Alligator mississippiensis: one gene and its partners. The protein of the gene in region 2 binds, or shares a complex with, the protein of the main gene of each other region. Links are inferred from orthologs where the notes say so. Each region holds a gene or a part of one and is shown on either strand. Other genes may lie near its edges. The genes, in order: TAF13, TAF3 and TAF10.

Region 1 (3,745 bases), on a different chromosome or scaffold from region 2:
GCTCAGACTTGTCCCTGCCTGGCCCCCTGCAAGGGGGGAGGGAGGGAGGGAGGGCAGGGTAAGAACTGTAATATATAAATTAGTTTTTGAAATGGGTGCCATTCAAATTCACACAAGTGATGAAGGGGTAGCTTGAGTCCAAAAAGGTTGAGAACCACCGGATTTGAAACCTGTCCCCCACCTCTAAGTTTTGACTACAGAAAATAGCAAAGCTGGTCTGCTGCTGCAAACAACTCAGAAAGCCAACAGGGTAGCACGTCACAAAGTCACAGACTATAGTCAGAGAGAAGTGGGGCTGGAAGAGACCTCTAGAGGTCATCTAGTCTAACCCCCTGCCTGAGGCAGGATCAAACCCATCCAAACCATAATCTAATATCTATGTAAGACTACCATCAACTAGGACACAATACAGACCTAACATCCTAACCCAGGGGGTTTCAACCTTTTTAAATAAGTGTACCCCTGGCAGGTGGACATGGAACTGGGGGGGGGGGGGGGGGAGGGTGCGCGTGCATGGCCAGATGCAGAGTGACAGCAGTGTGGCCTGGTGGGTGGCAGCGATGGCTGCTGTGCGTAATCTTCCCCACCCCCCCGCCCCATGTACAACTGGTGCCTGTGCAGCCCACAGAGGGGCATTTCTGCCCTTACCCCACCCTGGCCCTGTTCCTGGGAAGTGGTGGCACTCCATCCCTGCTCGCTTGTGCATACCCCCTAGGGCCTTCCCAAGTACCCCCGGTTGACAACGCCTGTCCTAACCTACCACAGGTAAAGCAGAGGAACCATGGCAGACAAGGTCCTGCTTCTATGCAATGCTGTCAATATATGCTCAAGGGATCCCAGGAAGAGAGCCATGCCTACTGCTACAGGGGGAAGGCAAAAACGTGGGTCTCCAGGTTTATTTTATGAACCACAGGTACGTGCTGTCACACCTAAGTGCTAATATTGTGCAGCAACCCTTAAGGGAGCTTTGCGGCACCCTGGCTGAAAATCAGCATCATAGGAGGCGTACACTTTTATTTCTTTAAAAGGTATCGTTTAAAACTAACATGGACTGCAATGCACACGTCTCTTTTCTCTCTTGGAAGCACAGTCACTATGCTGGACTGTGAACTGCTGGGAACTTGTCTGTAGTAAGGCTCTTGAAATCACAGAAAAATCATAGACAATTAGGGTTGGGAGGGACCTCAGGAGGTCACAGGTTGCATCTCACCAACCCAAGGGGCCTAATGCAATAGTATCATAGAAGATGAGGGTTGGAAGGGACCTCAGGAGGTCATCTAGTCCAACACCCTGCTCAAGGCAGGACCACCCCCAACTAGATTATCTCAGCCAAGGCTTTGTCTAGGCAAGTCTTAAAAACCTCCAAGGATACAGATTCCACCACTTCTCTAAGTAACCCATTCCAGTATTTTACTACCTTTCTAGTATGAAAATTCTACCTAATACACAACGTAAACCTCCCTTGCTGCAACTTGAGACCACTGCTCCTTGTTCTGTCATCTGCCACCACTGAGAAGTCCAGCTGAGAGTCCAGCTTCATCCTCTTTGGAACCAACCTTCAGGTAGTTGAAGGCTACTATTAAATCCCCTTTCAGTCTTCTCTTCTGCAGGCTAAATAAGCCCAGTTCCTTTACCCTCTGTTCAGAAGTCATGTCCCCCAGTCCCCTCACCATTTTGTTGCCCTCCACTGGACTCACTCCAATTTGTCCACATCCTTTCTGTAGTAGGGTCCCAAAACAGGAGACAGTACTCCAGAGGTGGCCTCACCAGTGCTGAATAGAGGGGAATAATCACTTCCCATACCCTGCTGGCAGCACACCTACCAATGCGGCACAGTATGCTGTTAGCCTTGGCAGCAAGAACACACTGCTGGCTCATATTCAGCTTATTGTCCACTGAAACCCCCAGGTTCTTTTCTGCAGAGCTGCTGCCCAGGCAGTCAGCCCCCAGCCTGTACCGGTGCATGGGATTGTTCTGTCCTAAGTGCAAGACTTTGCACTTGTCCTTGTTGAACCTCATGAGACTCCTTTTGGCAAGCCAGGTTCCCCACTGTTGTGCAAGGCTGCAGCAGGGTGGCCCACGCGCCCAGACGGGGTACCCTCCCCCCCGGGGGGGCAGGCAGGGCCAGCACAGACGCACCATCTCCGTGATGAACTCGATGACCAGGTCCTCCAGGATGTCCACGGCCTCGGTGTAGGGGTTCTGGTCGTCCCCGAAGCCGTACATCATGCAGCGCACTAGGGAACGGAAGGGAGAACGCCACGCACGCGCAGTTACCATCTGCCGGGGCCTCAAGCTTGACAGGGCCAACTGCCCCCCACCCCCGCGCATGCGAACGCCCCAGTACTCACGCTCCTTGGAGAAGAGGCGTTTGCGCTTGCCCTGCCCGCCGTCCAGGCCGCCACCCGCCTCCTCCGCGTCTTCCTCGAACTGCGGATGGTAAAGGGCGGGAGGGGTTACTGCATGCCCAGAGCATTCTCCCCACACTTCCCCGTGGATGTCTCACTCACTCACCGGCGCGTCCTCCTCCTCGTCGGCCATGATGCCCGGCCCGCCTGCTGCGCGCCACTTCCGACCTAGCCTGCAGAGCTTCCGGGTGATGCTATGGGGGCCGCCATGATTTCGTAAGGAACTACAACCGGGGCTCCGCCCCTTTCTTCGTCCCTTCCATGGACGTTTCCGCTTACGCACACCACACTTCCGGTTTATGCTTCCCCGCGCGGCCATTTTGCCGTACGGACGCTGGCTCGAAATCTTCCCACCCCCGTCCTTTGTCCCATCAGTGTGAGGCTTCCGTTGACTCCCATGGAACTTCCGGTTTCTGCTGGCTAGCGCCGCCAATTCGGTGTACGGCTTGTTGGACAGCGGAGCAGTCTCAAGGCTGGGCTGGGCCGGGGCGGCGTGGGTGTCGCCGCACGCACGCACAGACACGTGCTTTTTCATTTTTTTAAATTTAATTTTAAAATTTTTTAAACATAATTTTTAATCTTAATTTTTTTAACTTTTAAAAAGTAATTATTTTAACTAAACTTAAAATATTTTATAATATTTTTTTTAATAAAATATTTAAAAATTAGATTATATATTGGCTGTACTTGTGCTGTGCCTCTTATAAAGAGAGGCCAAATCTCATGAGTTGGGAACTATCAACCCCTGCAGTTTTCCCCACCTACGTAGTGCCTGTTGCTGGCCTACATTGAGGTCCCTTCAGCTTCGCTTGTACTCCACAATGTCAGACTACACTTTTACAGCTCCATGTTAGACAAGAGCCCATGAGAAACTACAAGTGGAAAACAAGGTATTCAGGCTTGACTGGGAAAGAATGTGAAAATCTATTTAAACATGCTAAACCAGCCTTCTGCCTTTCCCTGCTTCCCTCTGCCCAGCCCAAGGAGGGACGAGCAGAGGGGAGAACTCACAACACGCTGCTTGGAAGAGACTGACTCCTTTGGGGATCATTTCTAGGCACTCCAGGCCTGCTGTCCTACGTGAACTTTGGCCCAACAGCATTTTTTCTCCCTCTCAAGCCGGGCTTGTGAGCTGTGCTACTACTTGCCACCTTTTTCATGCAGTTATTTACATCTAGGATTTTTAGGCAGGGGTTATACTAGTTGAGAAACTTGTTACTTCTCTGCAGGGCCTCAGTTCGATCATCTCCTGAGGGGAAGTTCTCGGGGCCTGCCTGCATTCATCTACTGCAGTGATTCTCAAGCAGGGTGCTGTAGCACACGGGTGCCTGGGGATC
Region 2 (3,745 bases):
TTTTGGGCACGAGCAGCCTTCTTCAGGCATAGCTGCTCTGAGATCTTCAAGGAATGAAAGTAGCTACAAGTGTGACAGGAGGTCAGTGAGAATGTAAATCGGTGGAAATTAGGAAAACAATGGGTAGAGCAGGGAAGGGAGGAGGAGGGAGAAATAATGCCAAAGATAAGCAAACTGCAGAGAAAATTAGAAACCACCTTTTTCACCTAATCTACTGCAGAAATCAGCGGAAGGAAATCACCACTTAAAAGAGAACAATTCAGACATCTTCCCTAATATTGTACGTCTGTCTATCTCTCTCTCTGTCTGTCTATCTATCTATCCAAAGAGACCACCGAAGATTTTCTACCACCTCCAGGAAGAGCACGCACCAACTGCAGATGCTTCCTCAGCCTGACGAAGGGTGTTTATACCCGGAAACTTGCAAAGAACCATTTTTCCAACTAATTCAGTTGGTCTAATAAAAGATATCGGATTTACCCAAAGAACCTGGTTTGCCGAGGTCCTTAGACCAAAACGGCTACAACCCACCCCCCTGTCCCAAAGGTAAGCAGGGGAAGACGGCGGCAGGTGACATCTGCCAGGTAGAAGAGAGGCAGTCTGTGAAACAATAATTATAATATCCTCTCTACCTGATGGCTGGAAATTAGGAAGACAAAAGGTGGAGAAGGGGAGCGTAAATGGTACGGTCAGGGGGTGTAGCTGTGTGGGTCTAAGAATGTCGTTAGATATGATTCTTTGCATGCTTGCTGGTAGTTGGGCCACTTATGGTTGTGGACTGACTCTTGAATTTGATAATTTGGGCTAATTTGGCGGCATATTAAATATATTAATATATATTTGCGGGATATTAAATTAAAAGACAGACAAAACAACCCCCCCCCCCAAAAAAAAAAAATCATCTGTTTTTTATTACAGCTGGAAAAAAAACCAGTAGTCAGGTCAGGCAGGATAAGGTGCCTACAACGAGCCACGGTGCAGAGTCTGGGGCGGGCGCGCGCAGCGCTCGCAGCGGGGAGCAGGGCGCGGCGCCGCACGTGGCTGCTCGCCAGGCCGCGCAGTCGATGCCGGAGCCACGGATGCGCCGCGGAGGCGCTGGCTCGGCGCTCGGCCGCGCGGGCTGGCGGGAGGCGCGACCCCAAGATGGCGGCGCTGGCGGCCCGCGGCGCCCGGGCGTGAGGCGAGGGGCGGCCGCGCCGGGTCATGGCCATGGCGGGCCGCGCCGCGCCCGGGCCGCGCTGAGCCCCGCCCCGCCCCGCCGGGATGTGCGAGAGCTACTCGCGGTGGCTGCTGCGCGTGTCGGTGGCGCAGATCTGCCAGGCGCTGGGCTGGGACTCGGTGCAGCTCTCGGCCTGCGACCTGCTCACCGACGTGCTGCAGCGATACCTGCAGCGCCTGGGCCGCGGCTGCCACCGCTACTGCGAGCTCTGTGAGTGCCCGGCACGCACCGGCCCGCGGGGGGGTGCCCGTGTGTGTGTGTGTGTGTGTGTGTGTGTGTGTGAGGGGCTGGGGTTGAGGGTGCCCCCTGTGTGTGGGGGGGGAGAGGCTGGGGTTGAGGGTGCCCCTTGTGTGTGTGGGGGGGGGGGGAGGGGATGGGGTTGAGGGTGCCCCTGTGGGGGGGGGAGGGGATGGGGTTGAGGGTGCCCTTTGTGTGTGTGTGTGTGTGTGTGTGGGGAGGAGGGGATGGGATTGAGGGTGCCCGTGTGTGTGTGTGTGTGTGTGTGTGTGTGTGTGTGTGTGTGGGGAGGAGGGGATGGGGTTGAGGGTGCCCGTGTGTGTGTGTGGGGAGGAGGGGATGGGGTTGAGGGTGCCCGTGTGTGTGTGTGTGTGGGGAGGAGGGGATGGGGTTGAGGGTGTGTGTGTGTGTGTGTGTGTGTGTGTGTGGGGAGGAGGGGATGGGGTTGAGGGTGCCCGTGTGTGTGTGTGGGGAGGAGGGAATGGGATTGAGGGTGCCTGTGTGTGTGTGTGTGTGTGTGTGTGTGTGGGGAGGAGGGGATGGGGTTGAGGGTGCCCGTGTGTGTGTGTGTGTGTGTGTGTGTGTGTGGGGAGGAGGGGATGGGATTGAGGGTGCCCGTGTGTGTGTGTGTGTGTGTGTGTGTGTGTGGGGAGGAGGGGATGGGGTTGAGGGTGCCCGTGTGTGTGTGTGTGGGGAGGAGGGGATGGGGTTGAGGGTGTGTGTGTGTGTGTGTGTGTGTGTGTGTGTGTGGGGAGGAGGGGATGGGGTTGAGGGTGCCCGTGTGTGTGTGTGTGTGTGTGTGTGTGGGGAGGAGGGGATGGGATTGAGGGTGCCCGTGTGTGTGTGTGTGTGTGTGTGTGTGTGGGGAGGAGGGGATGGGGTTGAGGGTGCCCGTGTGTGTGTGTGTGGGGAGGAGGGGATGGGGTTGAGGGTGTGTGTGTGTGTGTGTGTGTGTGGGGAGGAGGGGATGGGGTTGAGGGTGCCCGTGTGTGTGTGTGTGTGTGTGTGTGTGGGGAGGAGGGGATGGGATTGAGGGTGCCCGTGTGTGTGTGTGTGTGTGTGTGTGTGGGGAGGAGGGGATGGGGTTGAGGGTGCCCGTGTGTGTGTGTGTGTGGGGAGGAGGGGATGGGGTTGAGGGTGCCCGTGTGTGTGTGTGGGGAGGAGGGGATGGGGTTGAGGGTGCCCGTGTGTGTGTGTGGGGAGGAGGGAATGGGATTGAGGGTGCCTGTGTGTGTGTGTGTGTGTGTGGGGAGGAGGGGATGGGGTTGAGGGTGCCCGTGTGTGTGTGTGTGTGTGTGTGTGTGTGTGGGGAGGAGGGGATGGGGTTGAGGGTGCCCGTGTGTGTGTGTGTGTGTGTGTGTGTGTGTGGGGAGGAGGGGATGGGGTTGAGGGTGCCCGTGTGTGTGTGTGTGTGTGTGTGGGGAGGAGGGGATGGGGTTGAGGGTGCCCGTGTGTGTGTGTGTGTGGGGAGGAGGGGATGGGGTTGAGGGTGCCCGTGTGTGTGTGTGTGTGTGTGTGTGTGTGTGTGTGGGGAGGAGGGGATGGGGTTGAGGGTGCCCGTGTGTGTGTGTGTGGGGAGGAGGGAATGGGATTGAGGGTGCCTGTGTGTGTGTGTGTGTGTGTGGGGAGGAGGGGATGGGGTTGAGGGTGCCCGTGTGTGTGTGTGTGTGTGTGTGTGTGTGGGGAGGAGGGGATGGGGTTGAGGGTGCCCGTGTGTGTGTGTGTGTGTGTGTGTGTGTGTGTGGGGAGGAGGGGATGGGGTTGAGGGTGCCCGTGTGTGTGTGTGTGTGTGTGTGGGGAGGAGGGGATGGGGTTGAGGGTGCCCGTGTGTGTGTGTGTGGGGAGGAGGGGATGGGGTTGAGGGTGCCCGTGTGTGTGTGTGTGTGTGTGTGTGTGTGTGTGTGGGGAGGAGGGGATGGGGTTGAGGGTGCCCGTGTGTGTGTGTGGGGAGGAGGGAATGGGATTGAGGGTGCCTGTGTGTGTGTGTGTGTGTGTGTGGGGAGGAGGGGATGGGGTTGAGGGTGCCCGTGTGTGTGTGTGTGTGTGTGTGTGTGGGGAGGAGGGGATGGGGTTGAGGGTGCCCGTGTGTGTGTGTGTGTGTGTGGGGAGGAGGGGATGGGGTTGAGGGTGCCCGTGTGTGTGTGTGTGTGTGTGGGGAGGAGGGGATGGGGTTGAGGGTGCCCGTGTGTGTGTGTGTGTGTGTGTGTGGGGAGGAGGGGATGGGGTTGAGGGTGCCCGTGTGTGTGTGTGTGGGGAGGAGGGGATGGGGTTGAGGGTGCCCGTGTGTGT
Region 3 (2,557 bases), on a different chromosome or scaffold from region 2:
GTTTCCATCCAGGCTCCATGGGAAAACTGCCAGCGTCTGAATAAATCTTTGTTACAAAAGCAGACCACGAGTGGCTGAGTGGTGGGGTGCCAGGGGCCACGCGTGGCTGGGCGCGGCGCTGCGCCCATGCAGGGCCGGGGGGTGGGTGGGGTGCCCTGCCCAAGGAGGAGCAGCCTGACCCGGGGCCACAGGGCCACGTGACTGCCCTGCAGGAAGTGTTGAGCCATACTCGGTCTCTCCACCCTTCCTCATTCAGCCACCACGGCAACGGCAGGATCTGTCCGCCCCGTGGCCGCCGGCCCTTGGGACGAGGATGGGTGTCCTGGTGCAGCAGCTGGGGTCGGGAGCGCCCCCCCCAGCGCAGGGGCCGAGGGCCGCCCGGCCCTAAAGATGCAGACCCCAAATCCTGCGGCCGCTCCGCCCACCCACGGCTCCCGTGCCCCGCGGCGCGGACGAAGCCCGACGCCGGGTCAGGCGCGAGCGAGGCAGACGGCACCGCAGAGAAGCCAGTACCCCGAAGTCCACGGTTTAATGACAGACGGGGTCCCGCCCCTCTGCCCGGGCCCGCGGCGCGCGCAGGCGCTAGGTGAAGTAGTGCGGCTTCTTCACGTTGATGCCGTACTCGGCGAGCGCCGGCGTCAGGTCCTCCATGGTCAGCGTGTACTTCTTGTCCTGCGGGACGGGCGGCGTCATGCTCCCGCGGCCCCAGCGCCCCCCCCCTCGCAGCAGCAGCAGCGCGGTCTGGGCCCGCGCCTGCGCCCCCCCTCACCTTGCTCTTGTTGCGGGAGCTGCCCGAGGCCGTGCCCTTCATCTTGCAGTGCTGCAGGGCGTCGTTGGCGATGTCCGAGATGAACTTCTGCGCGGCCAGCGAGATCAGGCGGATGCTGCGGCACGGGGGAGGGGGTGTTAGGTCGGGACGCGGTGCCGGGCCGTGGCCCCGCGCCCACGGGGGGGCACTCACATGCGCGGGTCGGACGCCTCGAAGCCGGCTCGGTTGAGGTAATAGCCCGTGACGGCGTCCGGGATCTGCAAGGGGAGAGCGGGGGTCAGGCGGCGCGGCGCGGCGCGGAGCGAGCCCCCCGGCCGCGGCGCGGCGCGGCGCTCACGGTGGGCGTGTAGTCCTCCAGCTGCATGAGGAAGTCCACGAGGGGCGCGGTCGACACCACGGGCTTCACGTCGCCGTTGGCCGCGCCGGGCGGCATGTACACGCCGTTGGGCAGCGCCTCCGCCGGCGCCGGGGGGCCGGGCACTGCGGGGAGGGGCGGGGGGGGGGTCAGTCACTGCGGACCTCGCACCCCGCCCCGCCACAACCCCTGCAAGCCCCGCCCCCTCGCGCCCCGCCACGCCCCCTGCCCTCCCTGAGCCCCGCCCCGCCCCTCACCGGGCCCCCTGGCGCCGCCCGCGCCCCCCCCGGCCGGGGCGGCCCCCCCGGCGGCGGCGGCGGGCGGGGCGAGGCCCGGCGCGGGGGCGGGGCCAGGCGCGGGGGCGGGGCTGGGCTTGCCGTCGGCGGCGGGGGCCGCGGGCGCGGGGTCGGGCTCGGCGCTGCCGCTCATGGCGGGCGGGTCCCGCTCCCGCTCCCGCAGCCGCGCTCCGAGCCGGCCCGGCTCTGCGTACTTCCGGGGCGCGCCCGCCGCGCCCATTGGCCGGGCCGCCCGCCGCGCAGCCCGGGCCCCGCCCCCCGCGCGCTGATTGGGCGGCCGGCCCAGGCCCCGCCCCGCAGCCCATAGAGCGCTGGGGCAGAGCGGCGCGCGCCGCACCACCGAGACAGACGCCTGCGCCTAGAGCGGCGCCGTGGGCCAGCGAGGCGACCCCTGGCGGTCGGGGGAACGCAACACGGGGAGCCGGGTCACAGCTGGAGCTGGAGGGGGGGGGATGGCCCGGGGGCACAGCTGGAGCTGGGGATGGCCCCAGGGGCACAGCTGGAGCTCCCCCCAGAGCTAATAGAACCAGTCAATGCGCGGAGCAGACGGTGGGGCACCGCCAGGCCTCAGCAGCACCCTGCACCCAGGGCCGCTGAGCTGGTGTGCCACGGTAGGGCTATTGCCCCAGCAGGCAGGGATCCCCCACCCAGCACTCCAGGCCTCTTGACCGCCCAGGCCAGGCCCTGCTGCTCCCCACCAGGCCCCCCAGCCATGCCCGCCCCTGCAAGGCACACAGACACAGACATGAGGGCCAAATGCTTTTATTTCCTCCACCCCGCATCTGCCCCGGGAGAGAGCACACAGGCTGGGAGGTCGCGCAGGGGCTGCACCGCCCCTGCCAGGGCACTGCTGCAGCACAGGGAGGGCTGCAAGCCCTGCCCGGTACCAGCCGGTTTGCAGCGAGCATGGCTGGGCAGCTGCTCCTTCCGCAGCTCAGCTGCAACATCCCTCTGTGCTCAGGGGCTGCAGGGCAGGGCCAGTGGCTGTTTCAGGGACTCACCGCAGGGCTGGAACAGGAAGACTGTGGCCAGAGCGTGCAGTGCTGCCCCTGCCACTTCCCTAGCTGGCTCTGTTGTCTCGCCCAGCCGCAGGGCCACAGCAGTAGATGCAAGGAATGTAATTAAAATGACTTAATT

The links.
Region 1: TAF3 (region 2) and TAF13 share a complex: the UniProt entries of both Homo sapiens proteins name them as parts of the TFIID basal transcription factor complex. The link is inferred for Alligator mississippiensis from reciprocal best matches to the Homo sapiens genes TAF3 and TAF13.
Region 3: TAF3 (region 2) and TAF10 share a complex: the UniProt entries of both Homo sapiens proteins name them as parts of the TFIID basal transcription factor complex. The link is inferred for Alligator mississippiensis from reciprocal best matches to the Homo sapiens genes TAF3 and TAF10.

Annotation. Positions count from the first base shown.
Region 1 is NC_081824.1:247,514,073-247,517,817, reverse strand, and holds the start of TAF13 (transcription initiation factor TFIID subunit 13), read right to left. Parts: upstream 2,605-3,745; 5' UTR 2,542-2,604; coding exon 2,515-2,541; intron 2,431-2,514; coding exon 2,352-2,430; intron 2,238-2,351; coding exon 2,140-2,237; intron 1-2,139. UniProt on the Homo sapiens protein: The TFIID basal transcription factor complex plays a major role in the initiation of RNA polymerase II (Pol II)-dependent transcription.
Region 2 is NC_081827.1:10,624,356-10,628,100, forward strand, and holds the start of TAF3 (transcription initiation factor TFIID subunit 3), read left to right. Parts: upstream 1-1,160; 5' UTR 1,161-1,263; coding exon 1,264-1,429; intron 1,430-3,745. UniProt on the Homo sapiens protein: The TFIID basal transcription factor complex plays a major role in the initiation of RNA polymerase II (Pol II)-dependent transcription.
Region 3 is NC_081824.1:483,482,809-483,485,365, forward strand, and holds TAF10 (transcription initiation factor TFIID subunit 10), read right to left. Parts: upstream 1,641-2,557; coding exon 1,382-1,640; intron 1,250-1,381; coding exon 1,107-1,249; intron 1,027-1,106; coding exon 962-1,026; intron 885-961; coding exon 770-884; intron 673-769; coding exon 583-672; 3' UTR 511-582; downstream 1-510. UniProt on the Homo sapiens protein: The TFIID basal transcription factor complex plays a major role in the initiation of RNA polymerase II (Pol II)-dependent transcription.